Linked DNA regions of Macaca fascicularis. The protein of the gene in region 6 interacts with the protein of the main gene of each other region in a biochemical or structural test. Links are inferred from orthologs where the notes say so. Each region holds a gene or a part of one and is shown on either strand. Other genes may lie near its edges. The genes, in order: SMARCA2, PPARG, ESRRG, RARA, HNF4A, NR0B2 and EID1.

Region 1 (3,500 bases), on a different chromosome or scaffold from region 6:
GAAGTTAGAAAGAAAAAAAGTCTGTCCTCTCAGCTCTGTAGTCTGGCAACACCATCATGTTTGGAAAACACTGTAATATTCATTTTTTAAGATAATTTCGACTTTTATTTGAGATTCAGGGGATGCATGAATAGGTTTCTTAACATGGGTGTATTGCATAATGCTGAGGTTTGGGGTGCAATGGATCCCATCATTCAGCTAATGAGCATAGTACCTAAAAGTTTTTCAACCCTTGCTGCCCTCCCTCCCTCCCCCGTTTAGTAGTCGCCAGTGTGTATTGTTGCCATCTTTATGTCCATGAATACCCAATGTTTAGCTGCCACTTAAAAGTGAGAACATGCGGTATTTGGTTTTCTGTTCCTGCATTAATTTGCTTAGGATAATGGCCTCCAGCTGCATCCATGTTGCTGCAAAGGACATGATTTGGTTGTTTTTTTTTTTTTAATGGCTGTGCATAATTTTAAACAGAATTCTTAATTTTCAACTTTTATAGTTGAGGTCCAGGAAGGTTCTCAGAAAGTATATTTTAATTATCTACCGTTTCATTGCAGTGGTTTTGGTATCAGGCAAATTGAGGTTCCAGTCTTGGCCCCCTTCTTTACTAGCTCTGTGGTATCTCCAGGTGTCTTCAGTTTTCCTCATCAGTAACATGGGACCATTATAACATTTACCTTATAGAGAGAGGCGTGTCTGTGTGTGTAAGAGAGAGACAATTAAATAAAATTATGCATTAAAGGCACTTAGTTCTGTTAATATTAACCTAGTTTAACTTATTACTCATTTTATCATTATTCTTTCTTTGTTGAAATCTAGTTCAGTACAGTTTGCCTCAAATTTAGGGGATGTAGTTCTAAAAACAGGCTTAAATGGCATATAATTATTTGTCAGAATAGGATTCAGGTGAACTCTAAAACCAGCAGTTTATATATCTAACAGTAATAGTATCCCAAGTGAATGGCTAAAGTGAGAGGTCTTTTATTTTCTACTCTGCCTTTATTATGCGGAAGTACATGCAGTTATATTTTTGATGGTGTGTAAAACGAGAATCCTCAACATCCTTTTCTAGAAACTCTTGGTTTTTGAGTACTATTTACTGCTGGCCCTGATTTTTTAAAAACAGCCTCATTTGTATTTTCTTTTCTCAAGCAAGCTCTGCTCACGGAGGAAGTGGCTGTGGCTGGCAGAGCGCTTTCTGAATGTTTAGGGTTGGCTGATTTCTGTGGCATCAGCACCTAAAACCGTTCTTGCTCTCTCCGCTTTAATGGCTGTTCGTCATCGGCATCTTGGCAAAGAAGACAAATGGTCCGGTTGCCTTAGGACAGAACTAGAAGTTAGAAAAAAGTGTGTCCTCTCAGCTCTGCATTCTGTCTGGCTGGGAGTTAGGAAGCGAGTCAATTGTTTCTGTCTCTCATTTCTCTCTCTGCTAAGAGCGAGCAAGGACATTTGACTTCCCCACTAGATACAGGGTGAACCCTCTTTCCCTGGTGTTAGATAGGGGTTATGGAGGAAGCCACATTGTTAAGTTAACATATACCTGTCTGCATTAATACAAAGGTAGCTTTTCTCTGCTTAACATCAAAAATTCTAGTTGGGTGTCAGAAATCAACTATCAGTATCTGGAATATGTTTTGCCCTGAACTTAAACCTGATGTCATTGTTTATCATGTAACATTAAATTGTAATGTGTTTTTCCACTGCCCCCTTTTCCCCGTTTTATTGTTTCCTTCAGACTTCAGGCCCGCATAGCTCATAGGATACAAGAACTGGAAAATCTGCCTGGCTCTTTGCCACCAGATTTACGAACCAAAGCAACCGTGGAACTAAAAGCACTTCGGTTACTCAATTTCCAGCGTCAGGTAATACCTTTTCCCCAGTGAATCTGAGATGTAGGAAATAAATGTAATTGTTCCTAAAGTGTTATCTGTGTTGCCTTTAGTCTATTCGATATTGTTATAAAGATATAAAGAGAGAAACATAGTAAAATAGTGAATCTTTTAGACCAACAGCTTACAACTAAAAATAATGAAGATGAACTGCTTATTATTCTGGTTTTCTCTTCTGTATATGGGAAAGAGTTTTTCCTCCTGTACTATGGTTTACAAAGTCAAGAGTTATGGCATTTTGTTACCATGGATGAAAAACCTTGGGAACAAGTGGGGTAGCTCATGTTTGCCTTTATGACTCCAAGGAAAAACCAGAAGGTAGTAGAGTGGAGCTTCTTCGTAAGCACAGATGTTAAGTGCTAGCCACGACTGTGAAAAGAATTTTAACAAATATGATAGCCACTCTACTGAATTAGTTCATCATTTATAGAAATACATAAAACAGTGTCTTACAGCTTATTTATTCACCAATATCTGAGTTTGGAGTGTTTAATCACATCAGGCTCATACAGTGACTAATCTGTAAATTATCTTGTCATTACACTAGTTATTAAAAGCCAGTATAATGACCTATTTTCTGATTTCTAAATTAGTAAGAGACTAGTGGAATGAATTAGAGCTACTTTTCACTTTGGTGAGTTTTGCCTTGTGGACTCAGAATGTTCAAGTTTGCTAGTCCACAGATTGCCTCACTAAGCCAAAGGGGAGAAGGAGCCTTTCATTGTTAGTCAGATGGGTTTGTTTTGTTAAAGCCTGGAACATGCAAAATGAATGATTAATGAGTAAAAGTAGTTTGGAAGTATTGACTTGGTCTGTTGGAGGATGCGAGTAAAATCACAGGCCACTCCTCTTGCTATTGTAGGAATTTGGGTGTATATTTGCCTTACTGGCTATAATATCACAGATGGACATTAGTGGTGAGTAGGTGCTACTTGGCCCTTGGTTTGTGAGAGTAGATTTCAGCTTAAATTTTAAAAAGAAGAGGGAAAATTCTCTGAGTTCTGTTTACTTCTTTCTTATTGGTGACCTCACAAGATGAATTAATAAAGTGCTGGATAAAATCTCACTAAATGAATATTAACCAAGTATGTTTTCAGGAATAAGTTTATGTTCAAATTAGCATTGCTGTGCTGGATTCTTATTGGTTTCTGATTTTTGTTTGATATTATTTTAAAAATCTGTTATTTATGAAGCTTCCCAATTAAATTAACTGTAACTAATGATGATTTCAGATTCAGTGGAATGATTATTTAATGTGTATTCTCCAGTCCCTACCCCCTACCACCACATAGCATGCAATACAGATAAAAGTATTACATTTGTGATGATCTAAAATAAGTTCATGATATAATACAAAATGTAGCTCTCTTGGAAAGAATATTATTATTGGAGTGGGAAGAAGCCAAAACTCTTATTTCCCATCCTTTGTATGAGACTATGAATTAACGTTGGTGGAGTACCTGCTGCTACCATACGTGAAAGTAATTCTTTTATTCTTTTTTTGGAGCATCATTAAAATTAATCTTTAAACACAAAGAGAATGTTAACATGACATTTAAAACAAAGTGAAAAATTTAAAAAGCTTATTAGCTAATTAGTATCATTAGAATAATTAGA
Region 2 (3,500 bases), on a different chromosome or scaffold from region 6:
TACTTGCAGGGCCAAAAATACAACAAATTGCTAAATAACTAAATTTATTTCTATGTTGTGTGTTCGGTTCAGATTGCATTCTTAATCACAACCAACTACCTCACAAAGGTATTTTGAAGGGAAGCCATCAGAGGAATCCACACAAGAGAGTGGGTGGAGGTCAGTAGGTATGCCTTAATTCCTGATATCACGAAAGCAATTCAAAGTAGTATCTTACTGTTGGAAGGGCAGGAGCATGATTTGACCAGAAACACTTAGTAGTTCCTTCTCTACGTCAAGTAAGCATTGTCTTAAGCAAAGTTATACATGCCATTACTTACAGGAACCAAAGATTAGATTGGCCTCTAATCTTCCTTTCTGGAAAGGAAAGAAAGAGAGAAAGAAAAGAAAAAGAAGAGGGCATTTGATTGGAAAAACTATATTGTTGAGGGAAGAAAGAGAAGATCCTGGGTTACTCATAACTTTCATACTGCAAACTTATGATACTCTTTCTTGGTACAGTGTTTTGCACGTGTAGAGGTGATTCATGGCATTATGCCATTGGCACTTAAAGCGACAAAGAACGCAGACTAATAAGGAAATCCAAAATTCTTTTGGCCATCCCACCATCATCCCACCCTCTTTCATAGAGGATCAAAAGACAAATCTTACCTCCACTGAGAATAATGACAGCAATAAATATTGCCAAGTCGCTGTCATCTAATTCCAGTGCATTGAACTTCACAGCAAACTCAAACTTGGGCTCCATAAAGTCACCAAAAGGCTTTCGCAGGCTTTTTAGAAATTCCCTTGTCATGAAGCCTTGGCCCTCGGATATGAGAACCCCATCTTTATTCATCAAGGAGGCCAGCATTGTATAAATGATCTCATGGACTCCATATTTGAGGAGAGTTACTTGGTCGTTCAAGTCAAGATTTACGAAACCAGGAATGCTTTTGGCATACTCTGTGATCTCCTGCACAGCCTCCACGGAGCGAAACTGGCAGCCCTGAAAGATGCGGATGGCCACCTCTTTGCTCTGCTCCTGCAGCGGGGTGATGTGTTTGAACTTGATTTTATCTTCTCCCATCATTAAGGAATTCATGTCATAGATAACGAATGGCTGCAAATAAAACAGGGAAAACATGGGTGACTTGGAGATTTCTAACTTAGTGAATGCCATCCCAGTTCAGAAAACTGTTTCTTTATGTAAACTTGCTTTGCTAACTAAAATCTTTAAAGCTGAAGATGCTTAATAATGAGAAAATACTCTCAAGTTCTTTTATTCATCTTAATTATCTTCTGGGACCAAACAAATTTCACCAATTTTGGTCTTCTTTCCCTTTAATTTACACTGTAACACTTTACCTATGACTGGCTAAGAATCCCAATTTCTTTTGTTTGGGGAGTCTTCACTGTTGATTTTTATATTTATTTATTTATTTTGTTTGTTTTTGAGACAGAGTCTTGCTCTGCTGCCCAGCCTGAATTACAGTGGCACAATCAGGGTTCACCGCAACCTCCACCTCCCAGGTTTAAACAATTCTCATGCCTCAGCCTCCTGGGTAGCTGGGATTACAGGCACACACTTTCACGCTCGGCTGGTTTTTGTATTTTTAGTAGAGACAGGTTTTTACCATGTTGGCCAGGCTGGTCTTGAACTCCTGGCCTCAAGTGATCTGCCCGCCTTGGCCTCCCAAAGTGCTGGGATTCCAGGCGTGAGTCACCATGCCCAGCCAATTGTTGATTTTTAAAATGATACAAAATCTACTGTTTATCTTGGCTTTCAATGAAATACACTTTTAACCTTCTTTCAATAAAAAATCATTTCAGCAACTCAGGGTTGAAAATACCCACTTGAACATAAAGCAACTTTAGAGGCTTAAAACAATTTTTTTTTCTTAAACTTTTTTTTTCCTTTTCCTTTGTTCTCCTTCACGAGTAATAACTTTTCAGTTTTAGATGAAATCCTCTCAGATCGCAAATGAAACTATGTGCACATAAAATATGCTTAACTATTAAAAAATCACTCTGAAAGCAGATTAGAGCTATTGAACCAAGAAAATGTCTATTTCTTTTTTTAATGCTCTGGAAGCCATCTATTTCACAAAGAGCAGATATAGAAGGCCTATAGGTGAATGCTGCAAAAAACAGTTTTGAATTTACATTTTAAAATATCTGTCCTTACAGGTCAATCAATAAAATACATGCCCCAGTTATTTAAGTTTGCAATAGGCTGCTTTCAAAAGTTAAGTCATTTGGTCATGACATTATCTCTCTCTCACTTCCCTTGTATAGAACTAACCAAAGTCTGTAGTCATTGAGAAATTCTCAAGGCTGCTCTAAGGGGCAACATTTTACTTACACCGGATACACTGAAAGACACATAAGGAGTTAAACCTTGAATCCTGTTCAAATACTTGTATACCTGAAAGCACTGGAAGAAGAGCTGAGGGTATCTGCATTCTAGCTTTGGTTCTGTGGTGAACTATGCGACTTAAGAAAAGTCATTTACCTTTCCTAGGCCTTAAATTTCTCAATCAGGGGTTTCCACCTCTTCTCCAGAGGAAATTCTAGTTGTATTTCTCAGAAGCAGGATGTGTGTGGGGAGTGGGCATGTGTGTGGAGAGCTGTGAGTGTGCATGCACAACAAACATGAAGTCTCTGATAGACTAAAAGTAAACACTGTTTTGAGCAGAGATGTTGAGAATTCTCTCCTGAATGGGCACAGAGAAGGTGCATGAGTGGCCGTGGCAGCTGGCTTCAAGATGCACCGGTTGGAGATTCTATTCATATCTATGGAACTCTATGATTTTCATCAAAAGATTAAGTTTGTTCTATACTGGAGGAAGTAACACCAACATTAAGGACTCTCAGATGTTAAATATATTTCCAAACTTGTACGTCACGTCAACACCCTTTACTGGAGTTATTCTGGAAGTTTTTACTTTTGTTACAAAAAAATTCACTTCAACTGTACTACTTACCAAACTCCAAAAGGGGACAGATGTGAGGACCCCAGAACAGGTTTACCTGGTGGCTCTAATTTTTCAAGGGACCAAACTGTCCGTACCGTATTTCTTAAACATTTCGCTTGGGTGGTTTTTTTCCTTTTTCTTTTCTTCTTTTCAGGATTAATATTATTAATGGGAGAAATAAAAGGGGGGCAGAGCAAGTAACATCAATGAAAATTTACTGTATTTTTCCAGAATGTCAGGTTCTAATTATGAGAAAAATTTGAATGGATAATGATGCTGTCACAGAACCTAGAGAAAACGTGTTTCTTTGTTCTACAGGCATTTTATAGTGTATTATAATATATATTAATGAAATACTGACTTTCTTTTTCTAAAAAAAAATTATTTCATTTTTTGAGATGAGGTCTTGCTATGTTGCCCGGGCTGGTCTTGAACTCCTGGGCTCAAGCAATCGTCCTGCTTTGGCCTCCCTAAATGCGTGCTAGGGTTACAGGTGTGAGCCACCACAACTAGCCTTTATTGGCTTTCTTTAATGTCATGAGA
Region 3 (3,500 bases), about 130 Mb from region 6:
CCAGATTAATCTTTTAAACTTTTGGCCTTAGGGATCCTCCAGCCTCAGCCTCCCAAAGTGGTGGGATTACAGGCATAAGCCACTGTACCTGACTAAGTAAACATTTTGATTGTGTTCTCATCAGCCACAGATCAAGGAAGTTATGTAACAGACAACAAAAAAGCAAGGGAGAGACAGTACAACCAATTCCACTAGGGATTGTCACTAAAATGCTCAGTGCAACTGATGGAGAAGAGTTGGATTTCCAGATGCTCTTAAAAGGGAAGGTGGGCCGGGCGCAGTGGCTCATGTCTGTAATCCCAGCACTTTGGGAGGCTGAGGCAGGTGGATCACGTGAGGTCAGGAGTTCGAGACCAGTCTGACCAATGAGATGAAACCTTGTCTCGACTAAAAATACAAAATTAGTGGGCCGTGTTGGTGCCTGTCTGTAATCCCAGCTACTTGGGAAGCTGAGGCAAGAGAATCACTTGAACCCAGGAGATGGAGGTTGCAGTGAGTCAAGATCATGCCATTGCACTCTAGCCTAGGCCACAAGAGTAAAAATCCGCCTCAAAAACAAAAAAGAAAAAAAAAGGGGAAGGTGGGAGACTGCTCTATGTACACATAAGCGTTTTCAGAATCATGTTTTGTGGAAATATTTAAAAGGATTAGCACTTAACAAACATTACTTCTTTTGTGCTTTGAAAACTAGTACATCACAAAATTATGAAGGCTCCAAATAAATTGGTTTCAGTTCTGCCCAACAAGGGGCCATTAGATGATGATGGTCTATGGTCAGTGGTAAATCAGCAGTAGCATGGTCTAGAGCAGTGGTTCTAAATTTGAATTACATCAGGATTACACAGAGGGTTGGTAAAATGCAGATTGCTAGACCCACACCCAGAGATTCTGTTTGAGTTAATACAGGATGGGGCCTGGGAACTTGCATTTCTTACATTTTCTCAGATGATGCTGGTACTGCTGGTACAGCCACTGTGCTTTGAGAACTGCTGTCAAATAATACAACACAGTACAGTGCAGTGGTTCTTAACTTTGCCTTTACATTAACCATCACCTAGGAAGCTTTCAAAAATCCCCCTTTCCCTGGCTGTACCCAAGACCAATTAATTCAGAATTTGGGGACATGAGCCCTGGCATCAGCATGTTTTTTTAAGTCTTCCACTGATTCCAATGAGCTGGCAAGTTTGAGAACCACTGATATGTGGGAAGATAGACTTCGTGTCCATAACTGGTTGTTAGGAAGACACATTTCATAAACCACTGAACAGAACCATTGGTGAGCTGTGGATCCTCAAAATATATGTTTTTCCTTCCCCTATTTTCTTCAAAAGTGAATCACAAGAGACCTAAAAACGTGAATTTTTTTTGCCAGAATATATATATATATATCTATAGCTTTTTAATGAACTGAATTCTAGATCTGTAGATCACCAGTTTAAAAGGGCATAAACAAATTTCAGTCCTATTTTTCTACACTATATGGGGGAAATAATGTTATTTATAAATCTGAAATCTATGAAGTTTGGGGTATATATCACTTATATATGTTGGAGGTACGTTCTATCATTCGATGACATTTTGTTGACATAATTTGGAAATTTTTTACATAAATTCATTTAAAAGTTAGAATAAGTATAGCCAACCACAAGGAAAAAATAAAGATGAGTAGGTAATTAAATTGGTCTAGAGCAGTGATTCTTAAAATTGGTCCCTGGACTGGCAGTATCATCAACATTACCTGAAAATTTATTTAAAATATACAATCTCAGGCAGGTCCCCACTCCAGATCTAATGAATCAGAAACTCTGGAGGTAGGACCCAGGAATCTACATTTTAACACGATTTTCAGATGATTTTAATGCACACTCAAGTTTGAAAATCACTGGTCTAAAGTATTTATTTCCATGCATCTGTAAGAAGATCCAAAGGGGTCAAAAACACTGTTAGTCCAATGTGCATTTGTACAGTTGCTCTATAGACCCACATTGCTCTAATAATAACTATGCGCTTATAAACTCTACCCAAAGTTTATTATCCTTGCATCATTAAAGCTTAAGAGTAAGAGGAAAATTAATAGATATGGAGTATATCTGGGGGGATTTTAGTCTATAAATCTTCCACTATCAATTGTAATCTATTTCTATTTTCTACTCGAGAGAGAATTAAAACTATGGTACTTGACTTATGAGAATAAGAATAAGGAAAAACAAAAACTCATCACGTGAGGTTGGAAGTGGGGAGAGTATTCCCAGGTCCGACACTAACCTTGAATTGTCCTCTTGAAGAACGCCTTGCAGGCTTCACATGACGCTACCCCATAGTGGTACCCAGAAGCGATGTCACCACACACTAAACACAGTCTCTTGGGCATCGAGTTGAGCATGTATTCACACTTGGTCTGGGGATCTTCAACGATAGTGCTGGAGCAGTCATCATACAGTTTCCTGACAGGACCACTACCTCCCAGGATAGGAGCAGAAGGGTAGAGAGGTGGCGAGTCAAGTCCGTTCTGATGGCCATTCATGGTTGAACTGTAGCTCCCACTGGCGTCTGATGAGCCACCAGGGCTGTGGTGGTTGACGCTGTCCGTCAGGGAGGCCGGGCTGGAAGGTTCCGTCTTGATGAAGGACGAACAGCTGGAATCAATGTGTCGATCTTTGTTTGACATTCTGCAGAGAAGCCTGAGATTGAGGGAGATACAGAGAGAGAAAGAGGAGAGAGTGTCAAACACAGACACCAAAAGAGGTAGAAACAAAAGAGATGGTGAAAAAATAGAGAAAGGGAAAGGGAAAGGTAAAAGGAGGAAAAAAAACATTCATATGTTTAAAAAATTCATATGTTAAAGACATTGCTCTTTGAGAGTGTTTCCTAAGGGCTAGGGACTACACATCATTCATTCTCTAGTCAATACTTCTTGTTCTACAAGAAGGTAATCAGCATAAGGGCATGACAGGGTTACAACAAGGGGCCCAGACAGGCCATAAACAAAAGCTCTAAAGGGTCCAATTGCTTTCATTTTACCTTTCTCTTGGAGAACCAGTGTCAATATCTAAATCAACTCTAGATTCTAAATTTATCAATGGAAGAGGTGGTGATTTGCAAAGTCTATACCATTTCTAAAATTGTATTTATCCTCACTCTACCTTTCCTTCCTCATTCTGATGCTGCAATCATTTTATTATGAGCGGAATAAAACTTTTATTTTCAAGGCTGAACAGATGATTCTCAGCTCTGTAATTACTGTTTGTCAGCACGCTTCCATAAGCATAACTGTGTCTTTTATTGATCTGACTAAAACACATAGGGAATATATCCTCAATCACTTTGTTTCTTTATTTAAATTGCTCTATTTCATAGCCATTTGGCAATATAGAAAGACATCAAGTATAAAATTAAAGCCAATATTTAAAGATTATTTCCTAGAGCCTGCAAAACTTAGTGACTGATCACTAGCATTCATTAATAAATGCGTGCATGTGTTCATGCACATTCACATATGC
Region 4 (4,231 bases), on a different chromosome or scaffold from region 6:
GTAGGCTTCTGTAAAGACAGAAGCCTGGAGGCAAGAATGGGCCATGCCTGCCAGGCTGGGCATGTGCTGCCCTCAAGCTGAGTCAGAGGCTAGGAGGGAGAAGCTGGGGTGCTACAGTGCCAGAGGCTACTGTGCCCCCACCCCTGTCCCACCTGGGATTTCTGACACCTCCCAGCCCTAGGGGAAGGCCCTCCCCACACAGAAGGAAGGAAACCAGCTAAGCGACTCTCTGGAGCCCTGCAGGGGAGCCCTGCACCACAGGCGGGTGGGAAACCCAGGAGTCCTGGCGCCCAGCCCAGAGAGAGTGAAATACCTTGGAGGGGAGGAAACAGCCCAGATTGAGGCAGACATGTGGCACCCCAGAAGCTCCCAGATGTGACCCACAAGGAGGTACTGGCCAAAGGGTCTAGAGGAGGCAAAGTGAACACATTTCTGAACAAGAAGAGAGAAGAAAGTGGGGCTATGGGAATGGGGTGGCGGGGGTCAGCCTGGCTCATCGCTGTCCTTTCCTCCTTGTCAGAGTCAGAGACACTGACATTAAGGTCATCAAATATCAACCAGGTCCTCAGGACCTTGGTGTGTTTCCTCCTCTCCTAGTCTCCAGACCTCAGCCTGTTCATTCCTGAGCTTCCTCTGGCACCCCTTCCTTGGGGCCAAGCCAAGTAAGAAATCAGCAGGCCCAAGGTGGTGCTCGGGAGGCCGGGGCAGTGCCAGGGGCAGTCCTCATACCATCCTCCCACTGGCTTCCCTCCCGCCTGCTCTTAGCCGCCACACATATCTCAGCTGTCGAATCCGATTAGGGCTCCTGCCCAGTGAGCCGGACAAGGAGGCCACTGGGCAGGGGAGAGAGAGACAAGGACGCCAAGCAGGGATGGCAGAAGGAAGGTGGAGACATGGCTCAGGGGAGCAAGTATGGGGCCCCAGAGGAAGAAATGCCTGGTGGAGAGATCTGTACTCTGTGACCACAGGTGCTCTGGCAACAGCTACAACCTGCATTAGGGGAATTCTGCAGTACCCAGGGCAATAGCCCTGCCTGGTTCCTCCATCCCCCAGATGGGCAAAGGATGGGGGAAGAAAACTGAAGGCAGAGAGATTGACCTAGATTTAGGAAGAGGATTCCATCCTAGATCCCCCCAGCCATTACTACCGTTTGCAGTGAGCTTTATGATACATTCTCTGTATGGTCTTGGTGGCAATGTCCCTGCTTGCTACTGATAGCCATTTTTACAAATGAAGAAACTGAGGCTTAGCAAAGGGGAAGACATATATAAACACACATAGTTAAGTAACCAGGCTAAGTCTCCAGTTCAGTCCTCTGATTCCCAGTCCACTGCTCGCAGTCAGAATCTCTACTTTCCTTCTTGGATCAAGACCAGAGGGAAGTCTGAAGCCACTCCATTATCCACCGTGTCCTCCAAAACCAACCTTTAGGGGACCCAGGGAGTCATGGAAGAATGCAGAGCACACCCCACACCTAGACAGAGCTACCAGATGGGGACATGCCACCCACTCCTACCACACACTGAGAGCTAGAGGAGTTCCCTCAGTGTGACCAGTCTCTTCTATCACCCCCTCCCCAGTCTACTACCCCCAGAAGCAAGATACACACTCACACATGGTAACTCATACAAGATGTACACCCTTCCTGTAAACCCACCAAACCAGAATGACATGCCCTAGATCTTCAGAGAGCAGGGCCTGTCTGCCCACCACAGGAGAGAAAAATAAGCCACTGTAAACAGTAGGTGCCATCTAGCCCTCTCCCAGAGAGCCTGTAGTGGGGCAGAAGCTTGGGGACCTCGTAGCTCTAGAGAAACACCAGGAGCCTGGGATTCTGAAAGCCAAGGAGCTCAGGAAGCTGGCAAGGCTGGGTGACCTCCTCAATCTGGTCTACACTCCCTTCCCTAGCCATCTGGACTGAGCCTGTTCTGGCCTGGGCCACACTCTGGTATCCCTCCCCTTCAATGCATGCAGCCACCTCTATCCAAAGCTTCTAGCTCTTACAACCACATTGTCTCTACACACACACACACACACACACACACACACACACACACACACACGGGTGGGGTGGGGGCTTCTGCAGCAGGTGTTGAGATGTTGACAGCGATGGGGGCTCTAAGCTGAAAGAACTTTCCTAGAGGAAAAGGTCACCAAAATGCTCACAACCTCCACTACCCTCCAGCAAAGCCTTTAGCCACCCAAGTGTGAGATGAACCTGGAAGGGGACATTAGTTCCCCTACAAGGTGAGTAGGGAGTGGGGGCAAAGTCCTGAGTTCTTTGGGCGAGGAAGCAAGAAAGAAATCCCTCGGGGAAAGCTCAGGTCTCTCTCTGGCTCTCTCCTCTGTTACCCCAGCACTTGCCAATTCTCCAGTCTAGGTGAGGTGGGGGAAGGGGTATTAGGCAATACTGCAAAGGAGGGTGCAAGGGCGTGGGGCCTGGGCAGACCTTCCCCCTACTCCCCACTCTTAGCTAGAGACCGGGAACTGCCTCAGGAGGAGGGTGCAGGGGGCTCTGAGCTTTCAGACACCCCACTGTTCCCAGGCTCCCACCTCCCAGGACTACAGTGAGCGACGGGAGAGGAGGGATGGGGAAAGCCAGAACTGGCGAGAGGGAAACGGCTAGATCAGAAGCAGAGGCCAGGGTCAAAGGCGGCCAAAGAAGAATTGGGAAGGGGTGTGCATGGTCCTACCTGCTCAGGTGTGTGCTGGCAGGGGGGCGATGGGGTTCCCAGGAGAACCGGGGAAGCCCTCTCAGCTCGATTCAGGATTCCCCCCTGCTTCTGGGTTAGGCTGCTGCAAGAGGCACGGGTTCCCGTTGGGTCCTAAAGCCCACTCGTCAAGCAGAAGGCTCTCCCCGCCCTCTTCCACTGGGTCAGCCGGCGCAGAGCGGAGGACTGATTGGGAAGAAATAACCCACTGGAAGAAAGATGGGCGTCTGGTCGTCGGCTGGGGACAGGAACAGTTCCCTGTCTCAAATACACAGCATATGGACAACTTGAGGATAGGATGGCATGAAACAGGAGAAAGTAGACATTTCTTCCTGCCTGCCCTGAACAGATGGATTTAGGTTTTGGTGCTGGAGGTGGGGTTAAGATCTCTTTCCCTGCCACTCCTGCTAAGGCATTCGGCTAGAGGTTTTGGGAAGGGAGCATTCGTTTGGTTGGGCGCTCACTTTTGTCCTCTTCCTCATGGACTGCAGGAGTCCCTTCATCCCTCCCAGTTATTCCCAAGTGCCTAGGATGCCATCCAGGGGGAAAAGAAAACAGATTTTCAGCATGTAAAAAGTGCAGGCTCACTTAGATGGCAGCTGGAAACAGGGGGGAAAAGGTAGGACCAATGTATGTGTACCTGGGAATGTGTGGGGTCTGCAAATGTACATATATAGGCAAGAGTATAAACAGGTGGGGTTAGGGAAGGAGAAAAAAACAAAAAAGGACTTTGGGTTACATCTATTACTGGAAATGGTGACTGGCAGTGGAAGAACAGGATGCAGAATCTAGAGGTCAACTAGTGCCCCTACCCAGCCCTTAGTAATGTCCCGAATCTTTATGACCAGAATAAACAAGTTAAAGAGAGAATATTTTCCTAGATACCATTTAGGATAAATCTAGGGGCAGAGGGACTTCAATACAACAGATCAACTTCAAGGTCAGTGATTCGGTTTAGTATAGCCAGTCTTCTCAGTAGCTCAAAAGGGAGAATTCAGGTTTGGTGGGCTACATGGGCAAGAGAAAGGTGGATAAGAATTCTGAAGTTGTGGATTGAGAACATTTTGCAAGGAGAGTTGCACATATCTCTAGCAGCAGAGCAGGGAAAATGTCATCAGGGGAAGGGCCAGAGGAAGTCAGGGACAGACTTGAGGGGAGAGGGCATGGCCTTTGCCTAGAAGGGGAGAAGACACCAGCAATGCCTCCACCTCTTTCTGTCTTGCAGGAAGAACTGAGTAAAGGAGCTGGACTAAGGATGGAAGGCCCCAGGGTGGAGTCCATGGGGTGAGTTTAGGTCAAGCCTTTCACCCTAATGTGCCTCAGTTCTCTCCCAGCTGTTAAACAGGGCTCTTCGTTCTTCCCAGGCAGTTAATGAGTGTTTACAAAAGGGTTTGGAGATCCTCAGATCTCAGCTGGGCCACCACTACAGTTATAAAGTTCAATAAGAGCTGAGTGTTATTTGGGGAGGAGAGAAGTAGGGGAAGAAGAAAACAGACTACTCTCTTACAGACTAAGGATAA
Region 5 (3,500 bases), on a different chromosome or scaffold from region 6:
GGAGATCATTCCTCCTGGATGTCACTCTGATGTGAGAGTTTACCCATCTTGTCCTCTCCAGCCCCAAGCCTCATTACTCTCACCCGCATTACATCATCCACCCCACCTGACCTCCCAGCTCCCAGCCTCCCATCCTCTACAGAACTGCTGTGTTCATTTTCTGGAAGCCCAGCTCCCTGCATACCCCTTGCCGCTGATCAGGGCCTCAGCCTGGTATTCCAGACCCTATGCTCTCCAGCAGGCCTTCTCTCTCTTCATCATCCCTTTCCCACACCATTCTTCCTCAATTCTTGCTAGATTCTTCCTACCACGAGGCCTTGGCTCAGGCTGTTCTTTGGAATGTCCCATCTCACCCGCTCTACCAGCCAGAAGTCTACCCTTTCTCAAAGGCCTAGTGGATGGTCTGCCTCCTTCTGATGCTTTTCCTCTCCACTCCAAGTTCCTGTTGCAGTTGCCAACCTGGGCTTGTTTTCTCGGGTTGAAGGTCTGCAGAGATCCTCACCCCAAATACCCACCCAAGTCCCTGAAGAAGGAGGGTGCGGTGGGGCTGGAGGAGAAAGGTGTCTTCCCTCACCACAGCCTTCTAGATCCTGCCTGGCCCCAGTCAGTGCTTACAACATGCTCCCAGAATGACTGGGGGAATCGTTTTCAAGGCCTCCTTGGCCTCTGGAGAGGTGGTGCTGGAGAAGACGGGATGGCTGAGCAAGGCGACAGCAGAGGGAAACGGGCGTTTGAGGTGGGGGCAGCAGCAGAAGGAGGAGCGAATGGATGAAGGTGAAGGTGAAGGCAGTGGCTTCAACATGAGAAAAGTTGTCCAAGGCAGTAGAGGACTTTCCAGTGGCGTCTTCCCAAGTGAAAGTCTCGTTATCCAGAGCAGAGTGTCAAGGGTGGCAGTGGGATGTGGCCCTTAGGCCATGTTCTCGGGCCCTTTATCCTTCCCATTCCTGCTCTGGGACTGGTCCTGGCGTCACGTCTTCCTTTGCCGTGACCACGTGATCACCAGGCGTTCTCTGAGGGGGCTGGGGGGAGCCAGCGGAGCCCCCAAGCCCCAGCGGCTTGCTAGATAACTTCCTGCTTGGTGATGGTCGGCTGGGGGATGGCAGAGAGGGGCTTGACGATTGTGGCGACGGCTCCTGGCAGGAGCTTGTAGGGCTCAGACCCTGAGCCACCTGGCGGTGAGGGCTGTGGGGTCTCAGGGGTGGCTGGAAGGACAAACAGACAGATAGGAGCTGCTCAAAATTCCAGCCTTTGTGGGAGTAAATGAAGAGCCCTGGGAAAATTCTCCCCCCAACCCCCAGCCCGCCCCGCCTTGACTTAATTTCTTCCTCTATAAAATGAGAGAATTAATTAAACCAGATAATCCCCAAGGTCTTTTATGACTCAACCTTCTGTGAGTCCCAGATCATAAAGCCTAAGTTTTATGAGGTCTGGAAGGTCCCACCACCCATCTCCTCCATCATTTATTTGATATGCAGACTTGAACTGCTTCTCTGAAACCAAGGCCCAGGCCTGGCTGTCACCAACGGCAATGGGATGGGTGACAGGGATATTCTTTCCTGGGAGAAGGAGCCAGCAGCTGATGAGACCCAGGGCCAACTGGCTCAAAAAATACCATTTCTTGGATATTTAGGACATGAGTAATAGAAACTGGCCTCACTCTCATGGCAGGTTTGGAGAGCAAATTTGACCCAATTGGCAATCTTTGTTCAATGGACAACTTTCTCCAAGAACAACGTCAGTAAAATATCATCTCATCTCAGTGGATCACTTCATCCCATTGATAATCTTATTCTTTGAAGAGCCTTGCCCAATGACAAGTTTACACTTTGGAGGTTTCAGAGGATGGTCTAGTCCAGCAGACATCCTGACCCAATGGATAGTCTCATCTAATTGTTTAATGGATAGCCTTACCCAATTGAGCAGCCTTATGTCAATGATCACTTTTACCTAACGGACAATGTCAACTAATGGGATTCTCACCCAAGAACATCTTCACCCAATAGGTTACTTCATCCAGTGGATTGCCTCATCCCAACAATGGCTTCATTCAGTAAAGGTTGTCAGTCACCTTACTGAATAAACAGCCTCAACAAATGGACAACCTTGCCCTTTATTCCCTACCCTGGAACCCAGAAAATTGTTGCATCCTGGTTCTACCTTCTAGACTCCACCTTCTCCTGCTTCCTCTCTTAAGCCCCATCCTCACCCTTTGCAAGGTAGAGCCCCAGAGGTTGCCCACCTGCCTGCCCCCTGGGTCGGGGCCACTCACACATCTGTCCATTGCTGAGGTGAGTGGGCATTGTGTTGGCAACGATGACATTGGTTCCCATGTGTTCCTGCATCAGGTGAGGGTGCAGGGGGTGGTGGGCATGGGGTGCATCGCTGGAGGACCCTGCAGGAAGAGAAGATCGATCAAGATGAAGAGTCTGGGATGCAGACCTCAGGCCTTGGGACGCCATCTTCCTCAGGTGTGACCAATCAACCTGCCCATCCAATATTGGCAATGCCTGTTGGGGACCTATTCCTGGGTTAGTAAACTAGGGTGTACCATTCCCATTCGTAGGCTTCATGAGGGTGTTAAGAAGGCCCCAAAAAACCAAGAGAACAAAAGTGAGTTGAAAGAAACAAGGTGCCTATAAGGAAGCTCTGAGATCAAGTAAATGTTCTAATGAGTAGCGTATTGGATGTAATCAATGGCTCTCAAGGCTCCTTGGCGTGCAAGTCCTTCAACCATTTGGTCCCGCCTCACCTTCCAGCCTCATCCCCCACATCTCTGCTGCAGCCAACTGACCTACTTATAGCATCTATGTGTCCCCTGTGTTTTCCTATCTCTATGCTTCTGCTCACGTTGTTGCTTCCGTCAGAGATGTTTTTTCCACCCCAAACCCGCTCCACGTCCATAAGCCCAAATCCCAGCTCATATATTTCCTCTCTTTAGAAGCCTCTCCTGATTCTCCTCGTTCTCATTCCTTGGATTTCTCATAGTAATTTATCTGTAACACAACTTTTAGGAACAACTACTTCTTCTGTCTATGAGCATTACAATTTCAGATGTATTTTTCTTCTTTCTTTGAGAGCCTAGCAGATTGTCTGGAACACAGTAACCGCTTTAAACATGTGTCAGGGAGTAAAAATACCACATGGGGTATGGTTTAATAATAGCCTATGGTGAGTAATATGACAATGATGGAATTTCAATGCTTGTAAGAGATCTCTACAGCACATCGATCTCAGTGATAAATAACGACTGTTGATAATTAACAATTACCATGTGCCAGGTACTGTTGTATAGCACTTTTCATGTTTTACATAATTTAATCCTTACAACAATCCTATAGAATGGATACTATTATTACCCCATTCTACAGATGAGACAACTAAGCCCAGAGCTCTTAACTATTTGGCAACAGACCACAGGCTCCTGATCCTAATCTCAGTGACACCTGATTCATAGTAACCCCATGTTCACAGGGTCAAAGTGAGAATGAAATAAGCTATCA
Region 6 (4,233 bases):
TTAGAAGGAGGCTGCCAATATTAGAGTGGGAAGTGCCTGACACGTAACAGGTGCTCAGAGAATGGCAACCATATATATATATACACACACACACACACACACACACACACACATTTTTTTTTGAGACAGGGTCTTGCTCTGTTGCCCAGGCTGGAGTACAGTGGCATGATCTCAGCTCACTGCAACCTCTGCCTCCCAGTTTCAAGTGATTATTTTGCCTCAGCCTCTAGGGTAGCTGGGACTACAGGCACATGCCACCATGCCCGGCTAATTTTTGTATTTTTAGTAGAGACAGGATTTTGCCATGTTGGCCAGGCTGGTCTTGAACTCCTGACCTCAAATGATCCCCCTTCCTCGGCCTCCCAAAGTGCTGGGATTACAGGCATGAGCCACCATGCCCAGCTGGCAACTATCTTTTATTATAACTCTGTGAGTTCTTCTCAGCAGGACTGGACTTTCAGGAGTGGTAGGAATCAGGCAGGGAAAGGCCGGGCGCGGTGGCTCAAGCCTGTAATCCCAGCACTTTGGGAGGCCAAGACGGGCGGATCACGAGGTCAGGAGATCGAGACCATCCTGGCTAACACGGTGAAACCCCGTCTCTACTAAAAAAAAATACAAAAACTAGCCGGGCGAGGTGGCGGGCGCCTGTAGTCCCAGCTACTCGGGAGGCTGAGGCAGGAGAATGGCGTAAACCCGGGAGGTGGAGCTTGCAGTGAGCTGAGATCCGGCCACTGCACTCCAGCCTGGGCGACAGAGCAGACTCCGTCTCAAAAAAAAAAAAAAAAAAAGGAATCAGGCAGGGGATAGGGATTCTGAAGGACCTTATTCCTGCAGGGGGCCCAGAACTGAAACCAGAGGAAGGGGGCCTCCGAGACTGGACAGCGGGCAAAGTCCTCCCAGCCCCCCCAGGGTCCTGGCTCCCTTCCCTGTAGCCTGCTCCTGGCCGACAACAGAAGCAGGGCCCCAAGGTTAGGCAAACAAGCTAGTGATAAGGCACTTCCAGGTCGGGCCTTGCATTCAAGGCCCACCCAGCTCTGGGGCTGACTTCCTGGCTTAGCGAAAGCGCTAGTCTTTTGTGCACACAAGAGCAGGCACCAATGGGGACACCTGCTGATTGTGCACCTGGGGCCTTGGTGCCCTGGTACAACCTGGGTTAATGACCTTGTTTATCCACTTGAGTCATCCGATAAGGGGCAGCTGAGTGAGCGGCAGGTGGCCCTGTGCCCTGCACCGGCCACTTCATTGACTGAAGTGATATCAGTGCCACGTGGGGTTCCCAATGCCCCCTCCCCCACCACTTCCCCACCATTCCTGCCAGGGGCAGTGTCTGTGTGTTTTTTTCAATGAACATGACTTCTGGAGTCAAGGTTGTCGGGCCATTCCCCCCCTTCCACTCACTGGGAATATAAATAGCACCCACGGCGCAGAACAGAGGGCCAGAGAGCTGGAAGTAAGGGCAGATCCCAACCATGAGCACCAGCCAACCAGGGGCCTGCCCATGCCAGGGAGCTGCAAGCCGCCCAGCCATTCTCTACGCACTTCTGAGCTCCAGCCTCAGGGCTGTCCCCCGACCCCGTAGCCGCTGCCTATGTAGGCAGCACCGGCCCGTCCAGCTATGTGCACCTCATCGCACCTGCCGGGAGGCCTTGGATGTTCTGGCCAAGACAGTGGCCTTCCTCAGGAACCTGCCATCCTTCTGGCAGCTGCCTCCCCAGGACCAGCGGCGGCTGCTGCAGGGTTGCTGGGGCCCCCTCTTCCTGCTTGGGTTGGCCCAAGATGCTGTGACCTTTGAAGTGGCTGAGGCCCCGGTGCCCAGCATACTCAAGAAGATTCTACTGGAGGAGCCCAGCAGCAGTGGAGGCAGTGGCCAGCCGCCAGACAGACCCCAGCCCTCCCTGGCTGCAGTGCAGTGGCTTCAGTGCTGTCTGGAGTCCTTCTGGGGCCTGGAGCTGAGCCCCAAGGAATATGCCTGCCTGAAAGGGACCATCCTCTTCAACCCTGGTGAGCTCCCAGACACTCCTGGGTAGGGGGCAAGGCTGAAGCAGGAGCCAGCCAGGGAAGGTAACTTCTAAGGGTTTGATATCTGTAATCTCATGGGGTCCACATTTTCTTTTTTTTTTTTTTTTCTGAGACAGAGTCTCACTCTGTCACCTACTCTGGAGCGCAATGGCGCGATCTTGGCTCACTGCAACCTCTGCCTCCTGGGTTCAAGCAATTTTCCCTGCCTCAGCCTCCCAAGTAGCTGGGATTACAGGTGCCCGCCACCACTCCCGGCTAATTTTTGTATTTTTTAGTAGAGACGGGGTTTCGCCATGTTGGTCAAGCTGGTCTTGAACTCCTGATCCCTCTGGTGATCCACCCACCTTGGCCTCCCAAAGTGCTGGATTACAGGCGTGAGCCACTGTGCTTGGCCGGTTCCTCATTTTCATCAAATAGCCATCTCACAGAAGAGGTACAGAGAAGCTAAGTGACGAGCTAAAGGTAACACAGCCAGGTAGGGACAGACCAGGATGGCAACTCAGGTCTATTCACTCCAGAGACTGGCCCTTGCCACTCTGCCTGAGAAATTTGCTCTGACCTTTAGAGAAGGCTGCGGGGGAGGTGGGGTGGGCAGACACAGCTGTGTCTCAGTCACATCTTCAAAGGAAGGCTGCATGGTGAAGCTCTAGAGCTGAAACTCCTCTGTGGGTTCAGAAAGATCACTTAGAAGAGAGAACTGAAAGGGGTGTAGGGAGGACAGGAAGGGAGTCTTTGTGGAATTTGGCCAGGAGAGTGGCAGATGAGACAGTGCTCTTTGTAATCTGGAGAGCATCTGAGATGAGCGTTCCCCAGGAGTCCCTGTGGCACGCATAAATCGTAGTAGTTAATTGCAATAATAGTAGCAAATACTCATATCACACTTACCATATGTTAGGCCCTATTCTAAGGGTTTTACATATACTAGTTCATTTAAATCTCATAAAAACCTAGGAGACAGGTCCTATTAATATTATTATCCTCGTTTTACAAATAAAGAAACTGAAGCCCAGAGATTAAGTTACTTGCCCAAGGTCACCCAGCTAAGTGACAGTACTGGGATTCATACTCAGGAAACCTGATTCTTAACCATTACTCCATACTGCCTCTTCATAAATGGATGGATGAATACAATGGAAATTGATAAATAAATTACCTCCTCCAAAGGAGGAGGTAGTAGTGGGACCTCAAAGGCCGAGCAAAGGAGGCAGAGGGGTGTCTCTGATGGCCCAGATCTTGGGCCAGTCTCTTCCTTTGGTGGCTGGGAGTAGGATGCTCACCAACCCTCTTCTCCCTCTCTGCCCACAGATGTGCCAGGCCTCCAAGCCGCCTCCCACATTGGGCACCTGCAGCAGGAGGCTCACTGGGCGCTGTGTGAAGTCCTGGAGCCCTGGTGCCCAGCAGCCCAAGGCCGCCTGGCCCGTGTCCTCCTCACAGCCTCCACCCTCAAGTCCATTCCGACCAGCCTGCTTGGGGACCTCTTTTTTCGCCCTATCATTGGAGATGTTGACATCGCTGGCCTTCTTGGGGACATGCTCTTGCTGAGGTGACCAGCTGTAGCCCAGGCAGAGATCAGGTGGGCAGAGGCTGGCAGTGCTGATTCAGCCTGGCCATCACCAGAGGTGACCCAATGCTCCCGGAGGGGGCAAGGCTGTATAGACAGCACTTGGCTCCTTAGGAACAGCCCTTCACTCAGCCACACCCCACATTGGACTTCCTTGGTTTGGACACAGTGCTCCAGCTGCCTGGAAGGCTCTTGGTGGTCCCCACAGCCTCTGGGCCAAGACTCCTGTCCCTTGTTGGGATGGGAATGAAAGCTTAAGCTGCTCATTGGACCAGAAGTCCTACTGACTTTATACAGAACTGAATTAAGTTATTGATTTTTGTAATAAAAGGTATGAAACACTTGGAGCCTGATACTGTTGTTTGTGCATATAGAAGGGACTGTCTCACCTCCAGGGCCCACCCTGCTCCTATCAGAGGTAGCCCAAGGGAAAAAATCCACAGGGTTGCTGGAACTAATTTTCCAGGGAACAGTATCAGTTCACAATCCCATCACCTCATTGCCTTTATCCTCAGGGGAAGGAGGTTGCTCTCCTGTTCCCAAACCCTTCACTAACCACTCTCCTGGCTCCTACCCACTTCATGCGCCCTCTCACCACAGTTAAAGCCCAATCACAGCCAATCAGGAAGCAGTCCATTCCCGAATTGAAACAG
Region 7 (3,485 bases), on a different chromosome or scaffold from region 6:
TCCACCATCTCTCCCTCCCAACCCAGCTAGTGTCTGAACAATTCTGATCATCCTTGTCACAGTCCTATCTTTTACAGATCTCTCTCTCCCCAAAAGGCAGGATGACCATAAAATAAATAATGCTCTGAATTGTCCTGTTGCATTGGATATTTGTTCTTTACTGCTATAATGGAGCAGAAGCATCTGGAACCTTTTTACTGATCATGATAAAACCTGCTGATATACTCATTTTGCTGAACATAGCCTTCTGATGTAATCATTACTCTCCTAGAACCTCAGCATCTTAGTAAGGTAACCATGGCAACATACTCATTGATAGGGCAGGTTTTCCTAGACCAGCAAATTCTTGTAGGGCAAAAACTTAATTTACAAAGTTTAATTTCCAGAAATTAATTTGTGAATTAGATAGCTGAAGCTGGATTATTTTCCCTTAATACTGGTTAACACATACAATAAAAACTAGTATAAAGTATGTATACAATATTATTAGCCAAACAAAATACACAGAACAAGAAATTTTATTATCTCCAATGCTGGTGCATAACAAATAACAAGCTTAATTAGAGGAGGAGACAGAGGGAAACTTCAGATACCAAGGTAATTTCTGGGTAGGTTTAAAACCTTTAAAAGTTGATAGAATAACTGTTCATAAAGTCTTTTTAGATATAGGGCTTTTTACTTGACAACTTTTTATTAACAGTTCTTACAATATGAAGTTCAACTAAAGTATTTCACCTGTCAAGTTAAAACAGCAAGCAAAACAAAATTTCTCTAGTATATAACAGCGTGAGCAATGGTTTCTTTGTACATTCACACACATTTAGTGTCTAGATTTGAAAGTTTTTAATTAAAGATGTCTTAATTTTTGACTTTTAAAAATGGTTATGACAATGAATTTTCTTGATTTATATATCACAGTGGCTTTATAAATGATCAAGATACATGTACAAACAAAATTTCAGACGCTCTTGGAAACACATCTTAAGATACAGAGCACACGTGATACATCTTTGAGTTTACTCATCCTTTTGGAATAATGAAGAATACTTCATTTGTCTTACACTGAAAATTTAGCCTTTGATAACTACGGCTTGACTAGATCACAAAATAGAATTTCCCAAGTTTTCTTAAACTTTCAGTCCAAATAACTCAAAAGATATGTGTCCTAGTTGGATACATTTTTTCTCATTATATAATTAATATCAGTGGGCTCTTGTATTGGCAGTTTGTCTTGGTCATGACTTATTCTTGCAAAACCATCTTTACAGCAAACAAATATGAAAGATATTTTCCCCAATGCAAGGAAAATAATCTGGATCAATAACAAAGTCAAAGCCATAGGTGTTTTAGCACATTCTTGATAACAGATTTCAACGGTCTTAAAATCTTTTTTCCTTTTTCTTTAATGATTCTCCTTTTTCACAACTGTGCAGTCACTGTCCTATTGTCTTCTATTCTGAAAAACAAATTTTTTTGAAGGTCAAGTTTTTCAATGGCACAAAACTATTTGGAATGAACCCAAAAGATAGCGGAAAGTTGGGTCCCTCCTCAAGTAGTTTCCTCCTCTTTTAACAGCATGTAACTACTCTCTATCAATAATCTCATCACAGCCGAGTTCTTCGGTCAGACGATTGACAACCATCAGTGAAAAAAGCTCTTCGATAAAAGCTAACTGATCAAACGGGGTCTTCTCATAATGCATCTGAAACCCGCCATCCAGGGCTGCTTCTCTTGTTCTCAGAAACATCTTGTCGGCTTCTTCAAGAGCAGCTGATACTCTGTAGCCGGCACCACTAAGCTGCTCCTCTTCGGGATAGTCGTAGTCGTCCTCCCAGTCATCAAATTCCTCGCCCTCGTCCTCGCTCTCGAAGTCTGCGCCCGCCACCTGGCCTGGCTGCTCCCCAGCGTTGGGCCCGTTAGCAAGGCTCCGTTTCCCCTCTGGCGCCGCCATTGGCTGGGCCTCCTCCTCCTCCATTGGGCCTTCCTCCTCGAGCTGTGGCGGGGCCCCGTTGCGGGAGGGACGCAGGGATAGCTCCCGGCTCCCGCTGCCTACCTCCATCTGCGGTAGGTCACCCTCGCCAGGCATCACATCCATTTGCAGGTCACTGCTCTCTTCATATAGCTCGGACAACTCGGCCATTTCCGACATTATGCAAACCGCTCAACCTCTCGGAAAAAGCTTCCAGCAAGATAGATGCTGCGCGGCCGTGCGTTTGTGCGCGTGCGCAAAAGCTGCGCGCTTGCGTAACCCCGCGCGCAGGCGTGGTCCTCAGGTACCGCCTCCTGCTTGGCGCGCCACTGTGGTTGGAGTAGCTCAATGTTTTTCCCGGGATGTGGGCGTCGCTTTTTGAGCTAAGTTTCCGTCGATTCGAACTTGGTATCTAGGGACCCTGTAGGCAAGAGCGTAACAGTTTCTGTGTTACTTAACCCTACTGTTGCTTGTGATGCAGCAAACTGGAAAATAACTTTACATGGCCCTCCTAACATTAATGTGCCTCCCCTCCCTTCTTCCTCCTCCCCAGGGCAATTTATCTATGTGCTGATGACTTCTAAATCCACGTTTCCAAACCAGACAACATCCATAACCACAGATCAGCATATTAAGAACTAATCCATTCTGTCCTTTTAGTGTTGTCATTTAAAAAGTTAAATTCACAAACGACATATATATTGTCCTTTTTTTTTTTTTTTTTTTTTTAGTTATAGCGAAGAAATACTTGGTCCCATTTCTTTTCTCCGGGTAGGTATTTTTCCACTATTACCAACGCGGCGTGTACTCTTTAAATTCTTTTTATTTGCATTTACATGTATCTTTATGTATTCATAGCAAAATACTATTTTGTGTGTTTTTTAAAAACATGTTTTACCTGTCTTCAACTTAAAAGCGTCTGCTTTTAAGTTGTATATACTTCTGTGAATTATATGACTGTGTATACTTAAGGATTCAAGCACGTTTCATTTATTCTGCACTTTATTTCTATTATTATAACATTGTAGTTACGTAGAATTATACAACTCACCATAATGTAGAATCAGTGGGAGCCCTGAGCTTGTTTTCCTGCAACTAGACGGTCCTGCAACTAGACGGTGATGAGACACAGTGACACCCAAGGTGTGTTCCTTATGTCCAGTGGATTCTGTAATCTCATTTTGGTTGCTGTTACTGTGGAAAATCCTGCCTCACAAAGATAGGATGTTGAAAATGAAAGGAGACTTTTCAGTACTTTTGTGGCAATCTCAGGATATTCCGCCTTGACTTTAATCGAGAACGTATGGAGATTTGAAGTTGTCTCAAACATACTTTTAAGGCCACCGCCATTTGCAATATCAAGCAGTTGATCCTCTTCTAGCATGGACAAAGTGGATTCACCTGGCTTATTCACAAATGGGTCACAGATCCATTCTGTCTTTTGTGGATGGGAAGTGTGATGGTTAATACTGAGTGTCAACTTGATTGGATTGAAGGATACAATTATTTATCCTTG

The links.
Region 1: the proteins of NR0B2 (region 6) and SMARCA2 form a complex in vitro, tested with the Homo sapiens proteins (2 studies listed by BioGRID). The link is inferred for Macaca fascicularis from reciprocal best matches to the Homo sapiens genes NR0B2 and SMARCA2.
Region 2: the proteins of NR0B2 (region 6) and PPARG form a complex in vitro, tested with the Homo sapiens proteins (2 studies listed by BioGRID, with this or other methods). The link is inferred for Macaca fascicularis from reciprocal best matches to the Homo sapiens genes NR0B2 and PPARG.
Region 3: the proteins of NR0B2 (region 6) and ESRRG form a complex in vitro, tested with the Homo sapiens proteins (2 studies listed by BioGRID). The link is inferred for Macaca fascicularis from reciprocal best matches to the Homo sapiens genes NR0B2 and ESRRG.
Region 4: the proteins of NR0B2 (region 6) and RARA form a complex in vitro, tested with the Homo sapiens proteins (2 studies listed by BioGRID). The link is inferred for Macaca fascicularis from reciprocal best matches to the Homo sapiens genes NR0B2 and RARA.
Region 5: the proteins of NR0B2 (region 6) and HNF4A form a complex in vitro, tested with the Homo sapiens proteins (4 studies listed by BioGRID). The link is inferred for Macaca fascicularis from reciprocal best matches to the Homo sapiens genes NR0B2 and HNF4A.
Region 7: the proteins of NR0B2 (region 6) and EID1 form a complex in vitro, tested with the Homo sapiens proteins (3 studies listed by BioGRID). The link is inferred for Macaca fascicularis from reciprocal best matches to the Homo sapiens genes NR0B2 and EID1.

The regions. Positions count from the first base shown.
Region 1 is NC_088389.1:97,097,029-97,100,528, reverse strand, and holds part of SMARCA2 (probable global transcription activator SNF2L2), read left to right. Parts: intron 1-1,729; coding exon 1,730-1,856; intron 1,857-3,500. UniProt on the Homo sapiens protein: ATPase involved in transcriptional activation and repression of select genes by chromatin remodeling (alteration of DNA-nucleosome topology).
Region 2 is NC_088376.1:150,693,837-150,697,336, reverse strand, and holds part of PPARG (peroxisome proliferator-activated receptor gamma), read right to left. Parts: intron 1,103-3,500; coding exon 652-1,102; intron 1-651. UniProt on the Homo sapiens protein: Nuclear receptor that binds peroxisome proliferators such as hypolipidemic drugs and fatty acids.
Region 3 is NC_088375.1:74,484,874-74,488,373, forward strand, and holds part of ESRRG (estrogen-related receptor gamma), read right to left. Parts: intron 2,682-3,500; coding exon 2,266-2,681; intron 1-2,265. UniProt on the Homo sapiens protein: Orphan receptor that acts as a transcription activator in the absence of bound ligand. Binds specifically to an estrogen response element and activates reporter genes controlled by estrogen response elements.
Region 4 is NC_088390.1:61,395,291-61,399,521, reverse strand, and holds the start of RARA (retinoic acid receptor alpha), read right to left. Parts: upstream 2,801-4,231; 5' UTR 2,694-2,800; intron 1-2,693. UniProt on the Homo sapiens protein: Receptor for retinoic acid. Retinoic acid receptors bind as heterodimers to their target response elements in response to their ligands, all-trans or 9-cis retinoic acid, and regulate gene expression in various biological processes.
Region 5 is NC_088384.1:100,504,392-100,507,891, reverse strand, and holds part of HNF4A (hepatocyte nuclear factor 4-alpha), read right to left. Parts: intron 2,393-3,500; coding exon 2,240-2,392; intron 1,203-2,239; coding exon 1,060-1,202; 3' UTR 1-1,059. UniProt on the Homo sapiens protein: Transcriptional regulator which controls the expression of hepatic genes during the transition of endodermal cells to hepatic progenitor cells, facilitating the recruitment of RNA pol II to the promoters of target genes. Activates the transcription of CYP2C38.
Region 6 is NC_088375.1:208,192,553-208,196,785, forward strand, and holds NR0B2 (nuclear receptor subfamily 0 group B member 2), read left to right. Parts: upstream 1-1,433; 5' UTR 1,434-1,469; coding exon 1,470-2,001; intron 2,002-3,324; coding exon 3,325-3,566; 3' UTR 3,567-3,922; downstream 3,923-4,233. UniProt on the Homo sapiens protein: Transcriptional regulator that acts as a negative regulator of receptor-dependent signaling pathways. Specifically inhibits transactivation of the nuclear receptor with which it interacts.
Region 7 is NC_088381.1:25,379,327-25,382,811, reverse strand, and holds EID1 (EP300-interacting inhibitor of differentiation 1), read right to left. Parts: upstream 2,197-3,485; 5' UTR 2,150-2,196; coding exon 1,583-2,149; 3' UTR 501-1,582; downstream 1-500. UniProt on the Homo sapiens protein: Interacts with RB1 and EP300 and acts as a repressor of MYOD1 transactivation. Inhibits EP300 and CBP histone acetyltransferase activity.